4 linked regions of the Xenopus tropicalis genome follow. Each later gene encodes a partner of the first gene's protein in a complex. Links are inferred from orthologs where the notes say so. Each region holds a gene or a part of one and is shown in the gene's direction. Other genes may lie near its edges. The genes, in order: gnaq, f2rl1, casr and plcb3.

Evidence for each region.
Region 2: the proteins of gnaq (region 1) and f2rl1 are in contact, whole or in part, in a cryo-EM structure (PDB 9D0A), measured with the Homo sapiens proteins. The link is inferred for Xenopus tropicalis from reciprocal best matches to the Homo sapiens genes GNAQ and F2RL1. Residues at the interface, in NP_002063.2 of Homo sapiens: Arg37, Ile323, Tyr325, Asp346, Ile348, Leu349, Gln350, Asn352, Leu353, Glu355, Tyr356, Asn357, Leu358, Val359; in NP_005233.4 of Homo sapiens: His108, Pro109, Ala110, Met114, Gln172, Arg173, Val176, Ile177, Pro180, Met181, Gly182, His183, Ser184, Arg185, Met265, Met268, Leu269, Met274, Asp275, Asn277, Lys280, Lys281, Arg284, Ala285, Leu288, Ile289, Tyr344, Tyr345, Val347, Ser348.
Region 3: the proteins of gnaq (region 1) and casr are in contact, whole or in part, in a cryo-EM structure (PDB 8SZG), measured with the Homo sapiens proteins. The link is inferred for Xenopus tropicalis from reciprocal best matches to the Homo sapiens genes GNAQ and CASR. Residues at the interface, in NP_002063.2 of Homo sapiens: His63, Leu196, Gln197, Ser198, Ile323, Tyr325, Ile337, Arg338, Phe339, Phe341, Ala342, Lys345, Asp346, Ile348, Leu349, Gln350, Leu351, Asn352, Leu353, Glu355, Tyr356, Leu358, Val359; in NP_000379.3 of Homo sapiens: Lys644, Ala645, Asn647, Arg701, Val702, Leu704, Val705, Phe706, Ala708, Lys709, Ile710, Pro711, Thr712, Phe714, Phe801, Arg873, Thr876, Ala877, His879, Ala880, Phe881, Val883, Ala884, Arg886, Ala887, Thr888, Leu889.
Region 4: the proteins of gnaq (region 1) and plcb3 are in contact, whole or in part, in a cryo-EM structure (PDB 8UQO), measured with the Homo sapiens proteins. The link is inferred for Xenopus tropicalis from reciprocal best matches to the Homo sapiens genes GNAQ and PLCB3. Residues at the interface, in NP_002063.2 of Homo sapiens: Pro185, Thr186, Thr187, Ile189, Glu191, Pro193, Arg202, Gln209, Arg210, Ser211, Glu212, Arg213, Arg214, Lys215, Trp216, Ile217, His218, Val240, Glu241, Glu245, Glu249, Glu250, Ala253, Leu254, Arg256, Thr257, Ile258, Thr260, Tyr261; in NP_000923.1 of Homo sapiens: Pro257, Arg258, Leu259, Asn260, Glu261, Val262, Leu263, Arg707, Asp709, Lys710, Ile719, Asp721, Gly722, Ile723, Val724, Ala725, Ser845, Asp846, Tyr847, Ile848, Pro849, His852, Tyr855, Ala856, Ala858, Leu859, Ile860, Asn861, Pro862, Ile863.

The regions. Positions count from the first base shown.
Region 1 is NC_030677.2:132,493,023-132,497,753, reverse strand, and holds part of gnaq (guanine nucleotide-binding protein G(q) subunit alpha), read left to right. Parts: intron 1-3,224; coding exon 3,225-3,409; intron 3,410-4,731.
Region 2 is NC_030677.2:184,881,175-184,886,516, forward strand, and holds the start of f2rl1 (proteinase-activated receptor 2), read left to right. Parts: upstream 1-2,106; 5' UTR 2,107-2,387; coding exon 2,388-2,451; intron 2,452-5,342. UniProt on the Homo sapiens protein: Receptor for trypsin and trypsin-like enzymes coupled to G proteins.
Region 3 is NC_030678.2:2,451,698-2,455,487, reverse strand, and holds the end of casr (extracellular calcium-sensing receptor), read left to right. Parts: intron 1-924; coding exon 925-2,318; 3' UTR 2,319-2,645; downstream 2,646-3,790. UniProt on the Homo sapiens protein: G-protein-coupled receptor that senses changes in the extracellular concentration of calcium ions and plays a key role in maintaining calcium homeostasis.
Region 4 is NC_030680.2:35,338,964-35,343,694, reverse strand, and holds the end of plcb3 (1-phosphatidylinositol 4,5-bisphosphate phosphodiesterase beta-3), read left to right. Parts: intron 1-1,357; coding exon 1,358-1,444; intron 1,445-2,421; coding exon 2,422-2,646; 3' UTR 2,647-4,685; downstream 4,686-4,731. UniProt on the Homo sapiens protein: Catalyzes the production of the second messenger molecules diacylglycerol (DAG) and inositol 1,4,5-trisphosphate (IP3).

The DNA.
Region 1 (4,731 bases):
GCCCTGTACTTCGACCTGTGGCATGCTTCCCTTATTTATGTAGGCCCTGGACAGAAGCACTAAGCCCTAGTTGGTTTTACACATAACTTTAAGATTATGTTTTCATTGTGCTAAAGTTTATACAGTTGAACCCTGATTTAACTTTTCCCAGGTGCTGTGTCAAAACAGTGTAAATTCTGGGAAAACTTTAAATCCAGGAAAGAAAAAATGCATGTTGCCTGAATGGGACCCTGGGTTTAGCACCCCCTTTCAATATATGTGATTTAAAAGATGTGTGAACCGGTTTACTTTTTGTATACCCGTGGGCCTAATTATATTGGTACTAATAATTTTAAATCCTTAATGCAGAAAGATCTGCTAGTAATTGTAGATAAGAGGCATGACCCTCTAAGGCAGTGATAACCAACCAGTGGCTGTTGAGCAGCATGTTGCTCACCAACCCCTTGGATGTTGCTCTCGGTGCCCCCAAACCAGGTAGTTATTTTTGAATTCCTGACATGGTGGCAAGTTTTGGTTGGAAAAAAACAAATTTACTACCAAATAAAGCCTCCTGTTAAGCTGATGCCAGACGTGGCGTAGGGCTGATATTTTCGGCAAGCGGAAAAACGCTTGGCGAAAATACAGCCCTACGCCTGCTACTTGTGCCTGCACCCGAATGAATGAGACGCGTTTTCATGCGTATATCGACTACATGTGCCTGCACCCGAGCGTATCTCATTCATTCGGGTGCAGGCACAAGTAGCAGGGTTAGGGCTGTATTTTCGCCAAGCGTTTTTCCGCTTGCCGAAAATATCAGCCTACGCCACATCTGGCATCCGCGTAAGCTGATAGTGTGCATAGAGGCTACCTAGTAGCCAATCTTTAGCCCTTATTTGGCTCCCCCATGAACTTTTATGATGCTTGTATTGCTCTCCAAGTCATTTTATACTTTACTGTTGCTTTACTGTTGCTGCAGATTTGTCACCCTCAAAATGCCTTCCCCCAGCCTAAGCTTTGGATCGCTGCAAGTAAAACGATTGCTGCTGCCATGGGCTCCGATGCTGATTTTTTGATCCCGGCGGCGCTCTGGCAGCAATGTACTTTCTATAATTTTGCAATCTGTGCATATCGGTGGGAAGAATGTGTTTTCCTAGGCAATGCACAGCATCAAAGCACGCTGATTGCTAGCAGACAAAGAGATTGATTTTTTTAAAAAGTATGGGAAGAATCTGAGCATTATGTAAAATACACTGACATGAAAATGCTCTTTCTTACATTTATATTAATCTTCAAATTTCATTGGCTCAATCATTGCTATTATTAAATGTCCCCATGTCCTTTGACTGAATCCCATGAATGTAGAGAGCTTTTGTTTCATAGGTTTCATAACATATTAAAGTGTTTCCTATGATATAAAAATCCAGCACATGATGGCAGTTATGGCATGATGTAAACGGGTTTTTTTTCTCATGCTTTTATTTTTATTTTTGCCTCAAGGTACTTTTTATATGCATAAACAGTTTGGGTTAATCCTTCCCATAGTGACAAGACTTTTGAGGAAAACTGTTATACAAAAATTCACTGTAGTTCTGTTTTCCAAATAGTATTAAAGGAAAACTATACCCCCAGAATGAATACTTAACCAACAGATCGGTCACATAACATAATATAAACTATTAAAGAATCTCGCCAAACTGGAATATTATTGCCCTGTCCATTCATAGGCTGATGTGGCCATGTATGTGTGCCTTGGCTTGATTGTATGCACTGCGAATCCTATGATCCCAGGAGGCGGCCCTTAATTCTTAAAATGGCAATTTGACTACTAAAGTATATTTTTATGAAAATGATTTATTTAGATGAAAAAGGATTTGACACATGAGCTGTTTATGCAATATATTTTTATAGAGACCTACATTGTTTGGGGTTATAGATTTCATTTAATCATAGTTATTGTGACATGTTGGGGTGTTAATGTATTATTTGTGACCTCCTTTAACCTAACCGTTTTTCCCAGTTTCTGTGAGTGCCAGACTGATAACAGGATCAGCTGAGTGTTACATAGGGCAAAAATTGGGTTGGGGAGCATGTACCATTCAATGACTACTTTTCTTGTTCGAACTGATTACATCACTAATCAGTAAGAAAATGTTATGTTGGTGCACCTTATGGTAAATGTTACTTCAAGCTATTTTTTTTTTTTTTTTTTCTGTAAAAGTACTTTTTGTCTCTAAGGCCAGTGGCAGTCATAGCAGTTTGAGATGTTTGCCCATAACAGGTTTTTTTACGCTAAAATCATGGCTTTGAAAACTCCCTAAATCATTTTTATATATAGGCATTATGGTTGAACGTGATGGACGTACGTCTTTTTTTCAACCTAACTTACTATGTTACTATGTATTTTCCCGTTTATTTTTGTGGGAGTAGCTTAAAAACATTGGCAATTTGCTAAAGGACTTTCTTTCTTAAAATGTGCCTATTACAGACAAAACATGATAGAAAATGCCAGCAGGAATCCCATAGGCAGCAATGGGGTCAGGGTTAATCTGTGTATTCTAAAAACAGAAATACTGTGTAGTGCAAGATCCCTGAAATCCTTATTTTTTAAATAATTTGGTTGTAATATTTTTTTTAACAAAATAAAATCTTAAAAAAAAAATATAAAGAAGAAAATACATTTCTGTGAAAATCCATGGGGACAATGGGTGTGGCTTGGGGGCAGTTTTCTTCAGAAAAAAAAAGATTGTACCAATTTGTTTTAAAGTATATCTTTAATGCCGGGGTGCCCTCATCAGATGCTCTCCATGTGGAATCTTGAGAACACCCAGTTCTTGTGCATTGAATATTGTGTTATTGACGCACAGAGTGTTTGTTAGATCACCTATAAACAAATAAATAAGGTTGAGGAGACTGCCTCATACAGACAAAAGCAAACAAAAGGAATTCTGGGAATGAATTCCAAAACTCTTAAAAAAAAAAAAATCCCATTTACATGGGTTTATCATATAGGCTACAGCTCACCCACTGGGTTTAAAGCTGAAGCCAGGATAATAGCTGATCAGATTCCCAACTACAGACCGGTTTCGCCTTACTTGAGGCTCATCAGTGTAGTGCAGGGTTTTCTGATCAGCTTAGGTAGATTTTTTTTTTAAGAGTTTTGGAATTCATTCCCAGAATTCCTTTTGTTTGCTTTGATCACCTATGAAACCAATATGTTAACTAAACGAATATTATTTTCTTCTCAGGCACAGGAGAAAGTGGAAAAAGCACATTTATCAAACAGATGAGAATAATCCATGGATCTGGTTATTCAGATGAAGATAAAAGGGGGTTCACAAAGCTTGTCTATCAAAATATATTCACTGCAATGCAAGCTATGATTCGAGCCATGGACACCCTTAAAATCCCATACAAGTATGAACACAACAAGGTAAGATTTTAGTAGACTTTTTCTCCTACTGGAAGATAATTTTTGGTTAGACTAGATCAGACTCATGCATGTGGTCGGTAGAAGTACTGAATAAATAATTAAACAAGAATTAGGGTTTTATGTGTAATTAATTGGGGTTTACTTTATGCAACTTTTATGTCTGTGTGACAGGTCTGCAAATGAGTATACATATCTTAACCACCTACAGTTGGTGGCTACAGAGCTTGGTATCCAAGAACTGCACCATGTTTCGCACAGCAATTCCAGTGAATATTAACTATATATATTAGTTTATTTGTACCTTGTCTGTCCAAAAGGCTAATCTTACAGCTTTGAGGCTACACTCCCCAAACTTGAATCACATAGTCATGGGGTCAGCCTGAATGAAAATATGATGATTGCTGGATGCCCAAAAGTGGGCGGAGCTGTGAACAGCCAATTAGATTTTAACGATTGACTTGGCGGTACAGTAATAACATCAGGGTCCCCAAACTTTGCAGGGTTAGGCACCAGGTTACTGTGGTTCAAAGTTTAAAAAATAGGGGGTGGAGCCACCAACAGCCAATCAGATTTTACCTATTGACTTTTAATGGGGAAATTCAACCTGCTGCCATTCTCACACTATTAACCCCAGGGCCCTCAAATTTTTCACAGTTGGTCACTAGGGAAAGTTTTGGAAAAAGTGGGCAGAGCCACCAGCAACCAATCAGATTTCACCTATTGAATTTTATTTGTTTGATGCCAGGGTTCCCAAACTTTGCACAGTCAGTCATTGGGTGACTACGTAGTCAAGGTTAGAAAAAGTGGGCTGGGCTGCCAAAAGCCAATCACACTTTTTTCATTGTTTTCAGTGGAGAAATTTTAACTGCTGCTATTCTCACATGTTTAATGTCAGGGTCCCCAAGCTTTGCACAGTTTGTCACTGGATGGCCAATCAGATTTCACCTATAGACTTCATATGTTTAAATGTAAACTGGAGCTATTCTTTAAATATTAATACTAAGGTCCCCAAACTTTGCAGAGCTAGTCACTAGGTAAGTGCGGTTCACAATTAGAAAAAGTGGGTGGAGCCACCAAGGGCCAATCAGATTTTAAGGATTGATTTTTAATGGGGAAATTCAACCTGCTGCCATTCTCCCAGTATTAACACCAGGGTCACTAGGGGACTGCATTTTTAGGTTTTAAAAAGTGGATTGAGCCACTAACAGCCAATCAGACTTCACCTATTGATTTTTTGGTTTAAATTTAAAATCTTAAATCACACTATGTCAGGGTTCCCAAACTTTGCACAGTCAGTCAGTGGCTGACTTCGTATTCAGGGT
Region 2 (5,342 bases), about 52 Mb from region 1:
ATGATGTTTGGGATAAAGACTGTGGGGCATGGGGGAGGAGATGGTGTATATGCCTGTTTGTATCTCTAAGTTACCCTCCCATATAGATTGTAAGGGACCTCCATCCTCTTGTGTCTTTGCCTCTTAACTTATTGCAGCTGTATCTTGTATTTATTTATTTGTATTTATTGTTATACTTTGTATTTATCTATTATCTTAATAACTAATAATCTAAAAGACCTCTGTTAGTAACCTACTTGGAAGTCCTACTTGGAAAATTGCCATAACTACTAAACTAATTTCTTAAATGTATTCTGTTTTCCTTTTGTGAAAATAATTGGTCTTCTTTTAGCAGAAGCAGAACCAAAAATAATCTTGTGGATACATTGTGCATCTGCAAAATGTAAGGAAAGTTTCTCACCTGCAAACCCAGGACTCTCTTCTGTTTTCTGCCCGGTGCTCAGGAGTTGTGGGGATCGACACCCTCACCAGTACTTTCCTTTTGCTCAAAGTTCTGCATAATGGAACCCAACGCCCCATAGCATTGTCCTGCTGTTTATGTGTAATCATATCAGCAATTCTGGAATCAAATAATATATATATCTATAGCAAGACTTACAACAGGCTTCTTGTGATAACATCAATGTACATACAGATGACGTAAAAGCTAAGTCACAGATTGAAGTGACTGAAGTGAGAGAGATCTGAAACACTAAGCAGAATGTGGGAAGTTCCTATGGATGCTTTATTGTCTGTTGGGACATGCTTTAGAGGTCATCAAATAGCACACATTCCTTTGTATATAAAAGGATATGTTGTAACACTCACATATCTTGATAACACAGAGGAGTACAAAGGACGACTGCTTTTCCTGGTTGCCGGTAGCTAATTGGCCCGTGTATGGGCACTACCCCAGGGCCCACCCAACCGATATCTGGCCTGAAATCAGTCAGGTTAAAAAAATCTAGTCAGATCGGGGGCCACATCGGCTCGTTGATGCGATCCTTGGACCGACTTTTCCTATACCCGTTGTTATAATTTGATCGTTTGGCCCCAGAGCCAAATGATCAAATTAGTCTTGATTCTCCCAATATCGGCCACCTGTAGGTGGGAATATCGGGAGAAGATCCGCTCGCTTGGCGACATTGCCAAAATCTGCTGAAAATCTCTGGAGGAGTTTAGCCCCTAGTTCTTTTTTTAGAGTAAACTCTTCAACCCTGTTGCGGTCTACTAATCATAGTATCAGGCCATAGCAAGTGAGTAGGTGTTTAATCACTGTATAGTGCTGCTTGAGGTCTCCAACCTCTGAACAAACACCTACACAAACACCTACACAAACATCTACACAAGCACTTACACAAACATCTACACGAACAATTACACAAACACTTACACAAACATCTACACAAACACCTACACAAACACTTACACAAACACTTACACAAACATCTACACAAACACTTACACAAACATCTACACAAACACTTACACAAACACTTACACAAACATCTACGCAAACACCTACACAAACACTTAAACAAACACCTACACAAACACTTAAGCTGGCCATACATGTGGCGATCTGACGATGTTTCGTGCGACCATCGGTCGCACAAAACATCATCAGATCCGCCACACACAGTCAGTCACAGCCCTGACGGAAGATTTTGGTCAGGCGCCTTCTATGGCGCCCGATCAAAATTTTCTAACCTGGCCGATCGGCGAGTCGACCGATATCAGCAGCTTCCTGCGATATCGGTCGACTCGCCGACATGCCATACACGCACCGAATATTGTACGAAACGAGGTTTTGTACGATAGTATCGGTGCGTGTATGGCCAGCTTTACATGGGACATATTTATTATAGAAATTGTCTCACTCTGCCAGAGGAAACTTTATTACTATGTAATATGGAACGCCCCTAAAAATAGTACATCCCTATGGGGAGAACTGTTGTAGCTCTGTTTCAGCCCCGGATAAATGTGTCTCATTGGCAACAGATTTTATAGAGAAAAAAATTAAACGTTTATAACAAAGTGGATCTTTTACTCCACTTTGTTCTTACAGCAAAACGTGTACAACGTGAGAGTATGAATGCGGTAATGCAGTATGTGGTGACTGACAAGGCGCTTGCCCCCTTGCTCAATAGCCCGCCAGTCAGTCCGATCAACTAGTGACGTCAGTGGCGTGGGCGGGGCGAGCGCTCAGGTGCGCAGAGTTTCAGTGATACCCGGGAGTTGCGGGACAGAGACCGGAGCGGAGCGGTTGGAGTAGGGCGGTGAGTTGGGAGCTGCGCCTATTCACTCTCAGTCACCTTCCAGCCGCGGAGCGATTTCCTTCCTAACCTACCACCGCCACCTGAAGACTTCATTCCCGAATCCAAGCCCGGGCTCCAAAGGGAAAGGACATGGGGGACTGGCGGTGGGGGCTGCTCATACTCGGGGCGTTGCTGTGTTTTGACGCCGTAACAGGTAAGGGCATTAGGGCAGCCTGTAACATGCCGCAACTATCGCTTTACTGTGTGATTCTCTCCGCTTCTTGCTGGTCAGCCTCTTGCCCCCAACCTGTTACTAGCTCTAGCTGAACCTGTTACTAGCTCTAGCTGAACTACAACTCACGCCAGTAACTAGGAGTATAGTTGAGGTTAAGGCACAGTGTTAATGCTACGGCCCAGGATCACATTGTGTGTGTGTGTCCCATTGTGTGTGTGTGTGTCTCATTGTGTGTGTGTGTGTGTCCCCCATTGCCTGGGCTTTGTCTCAGGGGCAGTAGTGTGGGGGCAGGGCTCCCTAGTACTACGCTATTGGTTGCACTGGGGTAACATAGTAGGCAAGGATGAAAAAACACCTCCATGCCAAATCACTTATACCGGGACTACTTTCAGTATTGGAAAAATTGTGCGATTGATCACTGGCCCCTCATTTGTACATATTTAAATTTGGACATAGATCCAAAAGTAATATATCTAATGAAAGAAAAGTATCCAAACAACCTCCCTACACTCACTCGTTACACATTTTCTGTGGTTTTCAAGTTGTTCCCAAATGTTAGTTTTGAAAGCAGTATTTCTCCGCCCATTGTTATTTTCTGCACTGCTGGTTCTGACTTTACAATGTATCAATTTGAATCAGCAGAGCAGAAACAGACAGATAATGCTTTTAAATAAGTGTTTTTACTTTTAACATCCCTTTCATAATTATGTATATATAATATAATTACTACTACTCTAAGATTTCTGCCAACATTTATGAGGTACCTCACCGTGTGAATAGTCTGGCCAATAAGCCCCTTATTAACCCCCTAATGACATCTGAGAGTGGCCGTACACACACCAATATCATCCAAAACAAAGTTCCGAAGATAATCAGTGTGTGTATGGTGGGAGACTAGGCAACCAATATCAGTAAAAGCCTTGGATATTGACGATCGGACAGGACTGGATGTTGAAGGTGCCCGAAATCATAATATTAGGGGGGTATATAACTTTCATATCTGACGATTCAGCTTTAAGCATGTTCCTTTTCCGGGGGGAGGGGGAGTTGCATCTGGCTCTGTGTATGTGTTAGAAGGGGTGAGTGTAGGGTTAATGTAACCAGTCGCAGGCTTTACAGTAAGACTTGGCCTATGGGTTCCTGCTCTCCCATACAGGAGTGAGATGGCATCACCTTGGCATGATATACATAGTCTGGGAAACTGGATGCATGTGTATCTTCCATGTTGGATCATAGCACATGCCAGGAGGCAGCCCCCAGTTCTGCACATTAGTTAGTGCAGGACCTGTGATCACAAATACCTAGTAACCATGCGTCACTGAGACCCACCATCTAACAATGAAATCCTCTGTTCCCCATAACTTCTGTCTGTGTGTGTCTGGCTTATCAGTGCAGTGTGCCAGGCTGTCTGGAATGTGAAAGGGCACACTGTACTTTATGTACGTAGCTACTGTTGTGGGGGTGAGACTTCCGTTTGTTGAGCTTTTACTAAAAGACGTGAATTCGTACACTGGGGGTGCGTATAAGGACATATATACTTTATATATGGGAAGTACTTAATAATGGCTATATGTATGGGTCCTTTCTGACAATAAGGGCCAAAAGTTATGGACGGTTTGTGTTGTGCAGGGAGCTTTATTTATCAAGGTCTGTTATTTTGTCTCAGTGTTTCCAGCTGCGTAATGAATCAGTCCAAGTTTGTTTCCCCCAGAGCGATCAGTGAATATAACATTCCCCTTTGTTTGCCATTCTGTTACGTACGTTCTAGCTTTCCAGAAGGTGCTTCTATATTCCTAGGCCCCAGGGCTAAACCACATGTTCCTTCATTGGAGTCTGTTCTATTCAGCTTCTATTGTTTCATCCTGGGCAAAGCACATATCGTCTTGTAATCAGTATGACCTGCCCTTAGATTATTATTGCCACTGGGTGTATAAGATATACATACGTGTTCTGTACTCACCGCAGTCTAGTAGTTATAAGGGAAAATGCTTTAAAGGGGTAGTTACGCTTCCAGCAATGCTGCTGACTATAATGGCATACAATGTTATTGTTACTGTAGACACATTATGTGGTTTGTGAGTTATATAAAGACTTGTTCTGCAGCTCTCCAGTTCAGAATTTCAACATCATTTGGCATCAGGCAACGTTTTGAGAGTAAGAATGGAAGATAAATTGGAGAGGGCTTCAGCAAAACACATATGTAATAATCCTCTTACAGGGTATCTGTTTTTTGTTTCCTCAGTAACCCAGGCAACCCTTTTAAGTTGTCCAATCTGTAACAGTCTAAAAGTTAATTTAATGGTGGATTTCCCCTTTTACAAGTATTGACCAAGCACCAACATATACTGCAGCTCTGTACAATAGAATGGTATATACATCAAACAGATTTACATACAGATAACTTGACACCATTCCTGTTGTTTTGCTAATGGGGCATTCGATTGCCCCAATTTATATTTTCCTGCTGCAGATAAGATTCTTCTGACACAAATTGGAATTGACACTGGTTGCTTTGGACCCACAATATCTGTGCCATGAATAGAAACCAGCAGTGCTTCCCATTTAGTCAACAGAAGTCAACCGGTGGCAAGCAGTGGTCACTTTGATCAGCCCATGCGCCATTACCATACATTTTTACAGAATTAATCATTTCCTGAGATTGTGGCCTATGTGTAATATAACAAAAGTAGTTTTATTAGTGTAGGGGGTAAAGCTTTGCCAACCTTTAATTCCTGTAGTTCCCAGTTGGGTTTTGGCCAGCTAGGTTTGCTCCTATAATACAGCTGGAAGGGGGAGTTTGTTTATTGGCAGCTTATGATCTGGTACCATCTAAATCGGCACCCATTTGGCCAGGTTTGGGGTAATTGAGA
Region 3 (3,790 bases), on another chromosome or scaffold:
CTCCCAGTGTTGCTATGCCAATACATAACCGGCTCCCAGTGTTGCTATGCCAATACATAACCGGCTCCCAGTGTTGCTATGCCAATACATAACCGGCTCCCGGTTGCTATGCCAATACATAACCGGCTCCTGGTTGCTATGCCAATACATAACCATCTCCCAGTGTTGCTATGGCAATACATAACCATTTCCCAGTGTTGCTATGCCAATACATAACCGGCTCCCGGTTGCTATGCCAATACATAACCATCTCCCAGTGTTGCTATGCCAATACATAACCATCTCCCAGTGTTGCTATGCCAATACATAACCGGCTCCCGGTTGCTATGCCAATACATAACCATCTCCCAGTGTTGCTATGCCATTACATAACTGGCTCCCAGTGTTGCTATGCCAATACATAACCGGCTCCCAGTGTTGCTATGCCAATACATAACCGGCTCCCGGTTGCTATGCCAATAGATAACCATCTCCCAGTGTTGCTATGCCAATACATAACCGGCTCCCAGTGTTGCTATGCCAATACATAACCGGCTCCCGGTTGCTATGCCAATACATAACCATCTCCCAGTGTTGCTATGCCAATACATAACCGGCTCCCAGTGTTGCTATGCCAATACATAACCATCTCCCAGTGTTGCTATGCCAATACATAACCGGCTCCCAGTGTTGCTATGCCAATACATAACCGACTCCCGGTTGCTATGCCAATACATAACCGTCTCCTGGTTGCTATGCCAATACATAACCGACTCCCGGTTGCTATGCCAATACATAACCGTCTCCTGGTTGCTATGCCAATACATAACCGACTCCCGGTTGCTATGCCAATACATAACCGGCTCCCAGTGTTGCTATGCCAATACATAACCAACTCCCGGTTGCTATGCCCATGAATAACGGCGCTTGTGTTTGCTTTGCCAGATGCCAGCGCCTGTGAGAAGTGCGCCAAGGACTACTGGTCCAACGACAACCACACCTCCTGCATCGCCAAGCAGATCGAGTTCCTGTCTTGGACGGAGCCCTTCGGCATCGCCCTGACCATGTTCGCCATCTTGGGGATCTGCCTGACGTCCTTTGTCCTTGGCGTCTTCATCAAGTTCCGCAACACCCCCATCGTCAAGGCCACCAACCGGGAACTGTCCTACCTCCTCCTGTTCTCCCTGATCTGCTGCTTCTCCAGCTCGCTGATTTTCCTCGGGGAGCCCCAGGACTGGACGTGTCGGCTGCGGCAGCCGGCGTTCGGCATCAGCTTCGTGCTGTGCATCTCCTGCATCCTGGTGAAGACCAACCGCATCCTGCTGGTGTTTGAAGCCAAAATCCCCACCAGTTTCCAGAGGAAGTGGTGGGGCCTGAACCTGCAGTTCCTTTTGGTGTTCCTTTGCACCTTCGTGCAGATCGTGACCTGCATTATCTGGCTGTACACGGCGCCGCCCTGGAGCTACAGAAACCAGGACCTGGAGGACGAGATCATTTTCATTACGTGCAACGAAGGTTCCTTGATGGCCCTGGGCTTTCTCATTGGCTACACGTGCCTCCTGGCTGCCATCTGCTTCTTCTTTGCCTTCAAGGCCCGGAAGCTTCCGGAGAACTTCAACGAGGCCAAGTTCATCACGTTCAGCATGCTCATATTCTTCATCGTCTGGATTTCCTTCATCCCCGCTTACGCCTCCACCTACGGCAAATTTGTCTCCGCGGTCGAAGTCATCGCCATCTTGGCCTCCAGCTTCGGCCTCCTGGCCTGTATTTTCTTCAACAAGGTCTATATCATCCTCTTCAAACCGTCCAGGAACACCATAGAAGAAGTGCGCTGCAGCACCGTAGCCCACGCTTTCAAGGTGGCGGCCAGGGCGACCCTGAGGCGCAGCAACGTCTCGCACAAGAGGTCCAACAGCCTCGGGGGGTCCACCGGTTCCACGCCGTCCTCTTCCATCAGCAGCAAGAGCAACCACGACGAGCATTTCTCCATAGGGGACAAGAACCGGGCCTGCAAGCAGAAAGTCAGCTTCGGCAGCGGCACCGTCACCCTGTCGCTGAGCTTCGACGAAACCCAAAGGAACGCCGTGTCCAACAGAACCACCAGGGCCAAGAACTCGCTGGAAGGCAAGAACAGCGACGACAGTCTGATGCGGCACCGCGCTCTCCTCCCCCTGCAGAACAGCGACGCCGGCAGCGAGTCCAGTTTCAGAACCGCCTCCAACATCGACGAGGCCGGATCCCTAGAATCGGTCAAACCCGAGAGCGCAGATCTGCCCCAGATGGGGAACTCCAAGAGCGTCACCGACGGAACCATCACAGAGAATGCGGTGAACTCCTAATACTTGCACTTACACGGAGCGGTGGCTCTGCAGAACCCGCTAGGAGATATGAACTCTGTTAAACTTGTCTCTTGGGGCCCCGGCTCCACCGAGAAGCAAAGACAGTTCCTTCGAGACATACGTCGGGCGTAGCCCCCCCAAATCTTACTGCCTTGTAAATGTTTATTCATATCAGTGTGGGAAATAGGGTTCATTCCAAAGTGGGGGTGCACGGAATCCAGGATTCGCCCGAATCCATTCCTCTGGCCTAACCGAATCCGAATGATTAAAGGGGAAGTAAACCCTGCGGCTCAACCAAACGTTACTCAGCTGTTGCAGGACTACAAATCCCAGAATAATGTAACATATAATGAAGGGTGAGGCATGCTGGGAGCTGTAGTACAGCAACATCAGGGCTGTATTCTTAAAGCAATATTGCCCAAAAAAACTTTCCCCCAATGAGAATCCCAGCTGATGTGAGTAAATCCGGCTCCCTGTTCTCTGTTCCTGCAATTGGAGTTGGGAGCAATAAGCACAGTTTCCCAGCACTGAACAAGTCTGTCCCTTTATCCCCATGTCTGATTCCTGTGCCATATAATGACGGGAAAATGCCATCATTATCTCTATATGTAAGGTACCAGCAAGGGGCCTGACACAGGGAATCAGCATTCTCATTGGTCACTTCTCTTGCATTTATAATGAGTAGAACTCTCATTGGTGAATTTTCTTGCATCTATAATTATGTTTTTTGGCAGCTCCTATAGCAAAACTAGGGGGCGCCGTGGGGCAGAGGGTTCGGCCGGATCCTAAAGTAGCGGATTCAGTGCACCCCAATCCCAACCCCCCAACAGGATGACCCCCAATGAGACGTCTGTACGGAGCCTACAATGTCGCACTATAGTCTGTATGTAGCACATTACCCATAATGACACATAGATGCTGTAAATACTGTAGAGTAATAATATTCCCATGATGCATAGCTGGGCCGGGGGAGGGGGGGGGTGCTGTGTTCCACTGTGTATGTTATAGGGGAAACCTGTATTAGGGAATATACTGTTATACTGTTACTTACATTAATAAATATTTGCTGGGAATGTTGGGAAATTATTGCTGCCCCCCCCCCCCCCCGATATACAGGATCCATCTTGGATTGTGGGATATCAGCAATTGATGGCAAAGGCCACACCCCTATTTTGGGTTGTGATGCGAGTCGCTTGTACGGACCCAGCAATGGGGGAGGAGCTTACAGGTATAGACGCACCTGTATTAAAGGAACAGTTCTGTTTAACAGCGAAAAATAAGTAAAATATTTGTAATATAGTGAGTTGGGCACAAATGCCATCTATACAGGCTGGAGCGGGCAGATGTCTAACATAATAGCCAGAACACTACTTCCTGCTTTCAGGTGGCCAAGCTTTTGCTTGTGCCTAGGGTCAGACTGATGGGAATGGGGCCCAACAGGGCTGCTGCCCCAAAAGCCCCCCACTGCCCCA
Region 4 (4,731 bases), on another chromosome or scaffold:
CACCGATATCAACGGTGGATCAACGATACCACCAATATCAGGTTGTTTCTTTCTCCATATCTGATGATTCAGCCCTGAATGTCATTGGAGGGAACAAACCATCTTTCCTGCGACCAATGATTGAAAGATCATAATTGGTACATATATGACCACCTTAAAAAATCCAAGTCCGGCTTGGGACTCCTCCAGTTACATGGAAGTAGGAGAAACAATAGGTTATCTGAAAGCAGTTCTGATGTGTAGCGCTGGCTCCTTCTGAAAGCTCAGACTCAGGCACAATGCACTGAGATGGTGCCTACACACCAATATTACAGCTAAAAATACATTTGTTGGTTCAAGAAAAACATTTTAAATGGTAGAGTGAATTATTTGCTATGTAAACAGTGTAATTTAGAAATACCATAAAAATCATTCACATAAACAGTATCCCTTTAAATTGTTTTTAGTTTGCTAAGTCTATGATTCTTAAGGTGGCCATACACGAGGCGATTTCGCTCGTTGTGCGATGAACGATTATATCGACAAACGATCGTATGGCGATCGAGTTCCCATACGATATGCCATCCACGGGCAACGATAATTCGGGAAAGATTTTGTCGCATCATTATCGTAAAATACGTACGATCGTACATCTACGTACGATCGAATGTCGTTGACTTCCGCTGCTGGCAATCGTGACATGCGCAGAGAACAATCGTTGAAAGACAAATGTCTGACACTCACACCAACTGGCAGATTTTATCGTTAAACGACCAAAATTTTTAAACCTGGCCGATCGATTTTGGGGACGATAATGTCGGCTCGTTTAGTGGGCTGACGATCGTTCGTACACCACCAACTATACGATAACTTAACGATAGCATCGGATCATTCGGGAATCGGTCGTTTGTAAGTAAAAAATCGGTCCGTGTATGGCCACCTTTAGAAACTCTTCAATTGATCTTTAGTTTTTATAGTTATTGGATTATTTGCCTTCTTCTTCTGCCTCTTTCCAGCTTTTTAAAAGGGTTCACTGACCCCAGCAGCCAACAAAAAAACACTACCTTCATTATTTGTTACTTCATATGACTTATGTTTCCATTTAGGCCCTCTGCCATTCATCTTCCTGTCTGTCATTCAAACCATTTCCTAGTTGCTAGGGCAAATTGGACCCTAGCAACCAGGTAGCTGCGGAAATTCCAAACAGAAAAGCTGCTGAAAACAAAAAGCTTAAATAATTCAAAATCTTCAAAATAATGAAAGCCGAAAATGCACTGCACTTTGCAAGTCTATATCTGAAAACCAAGTTGAGCTTATAATATATGGTAGTCTTGTGATGATGATGGCATCCAGTTCATTCTGTGTCTGTTTCTTTCAGCTGGAAGAGGCCCAGAAAAGGCGACAAGAGAAGCTGCAGGCGGCTCACCAGGAAACACTGCAAAGGATAAAAGATGAGGAGCCAAAGGTCAGCATTAATGTGACAGACACCATAATACCCTGATACCATCACTATAACATAGATCTTCTACTTGCCCTTTATTAGCTCCCCCCTTCTTATGTTGGCGTGACTCCCCTGTTTGCATGCAGCCTCTGGCCTATATGAAATAATGCGCACTTGGCCTGTACTTCATTATAATAAGGTTGAGTGGCCTTTAATTCATCCAATAAAAAAGATCTAGCAGATCTGAGGAGGAGTATGTACAGTATAAGGGGGGGTGGCTGCCTGTGCCTCACCGGGGCATTCCAGCCAATTAGTGATGAGCCGAATCTGTCCCATTTCAGTTTGGCGAAAAATGACCCACACAACCATTTTTTGACGCGCAACAATTTTTTTTGGTGAACTCTTTTGGCCAAACTCTTCCACAGCAAGTTTTTGTGCCCATTTCACGAAGCAATCGACCAGTGGCGAAACAGAGATTCGCCACGAATCCATGCCTGGCGAAGATTTTCACTCATCACTACAGCCAATCAATAGTATGCATAATGTTAGTGTGTGAGTCATGAAGTTTGATGTCTGATAAAGGGGCGTGTCACCAAAATGTCACATTTTATAAATAAACACGCAGGGTTATTCCCGTGGCATGTATGCTTTAGCATACGTTGGGCAAAATGCATTTGCACATATAAGGGGTTATGTAATAAAAGGCACTCATTTTGCCCAGGAGTGGTAACCCATAGCAACCAATCAGCAGGTAGCATTTACTGGTCACCTGTTTAAAAGCAAATATCTTATTGGTCCTGATCCTGGGCAAATGTTGTGCCTTTTATTACATATATTAATAAATTATCACATTATATGGGTGATAGTTTTATGATGACCAGATATCTATAGTTCATAGACGTTGGTCAGGATCATCGGGTCCCCCATACAGACACTGAAAATCACATTAACAGTCATCTTTCCATTCTCAACCCTCATGTCTTCCTTTCATTTTCTCCCAGCTGCAGGCACAGTTAGATGAGTCTTGCCAAGCTGAGTTCCGCCAGCTGCCCCAGGAGGTCCGACGTTACTTGCAGGAGGATGGCTGGGTTGGCAGTGGTTCAGGTCCTCCCTCTTCTTCACACAGCAGCCCGCCCTCAATAAGCCGGAGCTGGGGGTCGGAGTCTGGCGAAAAAGATTCTCTTCATTCCCCTGGAGACTCAAGTGATGAAGCCACCAGGCTCTGACCCCCACAATAAACAAATGAACTTTTTTCCTTCCAGATGCTAATCTTGGAACCCAACATTGACAAAACATGTCTCTAGTGTACAGGGTACTGATAAAATAAGATTTACCCAGGATGCAGCTGTGTACAAGCGCACCCCATAACCAGAGGGTCACAGGAGCCAGCTCTCCACACAAATCCAGATCTCTGCTCAGTACCCCCAAATGTAAACCATTCTGTGTAATTTGTGTCATCACAGATGTGGGGAGAGGAAAGAGGACATGGTACCTGAGTGTGAGTGAGTCAGCGAGTGAGTGAGTGAGTGGTGCAGAACACTATGGGAGAAGAAGTGCTGAGTGGCCCATGAACAGAAACTGTAGCTAAAATATAAACTGCTTCTATATTAAAGAGTATTTTGCAACATTGGCAAATATATATTTATTTAAAGGGATACTGTCATCAGAGTAAAAGTGTTTACTTACACCAGAAATCAATGTTTAATATTTGTGTAAAAGTAGTGTAGTTTTTTGTTTTTTTTCTGTGAAGGGGGGGGGGTGTTACTGATTTACTTCACTGCTGAAAAATGTCTCGTCTGTGCTTTGTGGCAGTTTCTACTTCAGTTCATAGCAGTGCTTTGTTGTTTGTTTATGACAGGTGTTCTAAATACACAACGATGGGCAGAGCGTTCCTCTTACAAGGCAAAGATAAGGACCAATTAGCCTGTGTATAAAATGATCCAACTACAGTGCTGCCCTTTGTCTGATGCAGATGTGAGTGGGAGAGTCTGAAACATTTAACGTCTGGGGCACATAAATCCATCATATCTAATCCTGCAATGCCAAAGAACGTCACAGCATTAATAATGACTATAGCAAATGGGGAGATTTGGCTGTCGCTGCCCTCTAGTGAAGGGTGCCTGTCACTGCTGCAATCCAGTAAGAGCCTGTCATTCCGTAGCATCTGGAGTGAGAAGAGGTGGAGAGGGGCATTTTGTCTGCCGCTGGTTCCAGCTGAGGGCAGTGTCCCTTTAACGTAGTCAGAAATACAGTCCTGAGATTCTGCTCTCATGGAATGTTCTTAGGAGGTGTCAGACTTTTTTATGACATTGTCAGTTGCAGACTGTGAATACAAGCAGCCACTTGCCATTTTAATGATGGCCAATACATTCCCCTAGGTGATGGCAAGCATGATCACCACTTAAAGGGTGGGTACCTATAGGTGTAAAGTGCACCTATCGTCAGCCAGGTTTTTGTTTTTCCACTTGCTCCATACATATTAAACCCAGGGTGCCGTTGGTGGAGGCAGCCCATTTTTATTGGCTCACCAACTATAAGGTATTTTAATATACAGCCAGAATAAAAACAAATAAAACACCAGCACTGAAAATCCCCATGGGGAGAGACTGTTCCATCTACTCTCTTTTTAACTAAACAGATAGCTGCCCCTGGCCTCCTATTGCAAGGCTTATTCTTCAGCACTTGTAACTACCGCTAAAAAAACAGTTTTAATCACTTATAGCACCATATAGAGTTGGCAGCAAAAGGTTTTAAAGAGATATCTGAAGGTCATCTGACATTTGTACATCATATAATGACCATCTGTGTATATCCCCCAATGTGGAGAGCTTTATGTGTACTTTCACTTCAGCTTTAGTTTCCCTTTATGTCGGTGATTAAACAAGCATCTCTATTGCTTGCTCTTTGCCCAGAAACTCCAGTGCCCCCTGCTGGCATCACTTTGGGCTTTAGTAAACGTAAGGCAAGTCGGCCTTATAATGGCTGGAGTGAGACATTATACAATGATTCCTAATGGTTCCTAATATCTCTCTTCTTGAGGAAGGTTTGGTTCTTAGAGTAACATATGAATTTGTAATATATGAAATGGAGAGTAGTTGCTGACCAGTGGGCCTCTCATTGCTTGGTATAACCCTCTCGTGTGTATGACTGGCACTGTGAGTGTTTGTGCGTGTAGGAATGGCTCGTGCGTGTCACTGTTACTTATCCTATTATATGAATTTTTTATTCACATTTTATTTCTTCAGTAAAATGATCAGAGATCAAACTGCTTTGTCCTGTTATGCTTTTACTTCTTAATAAATGGCCAACAT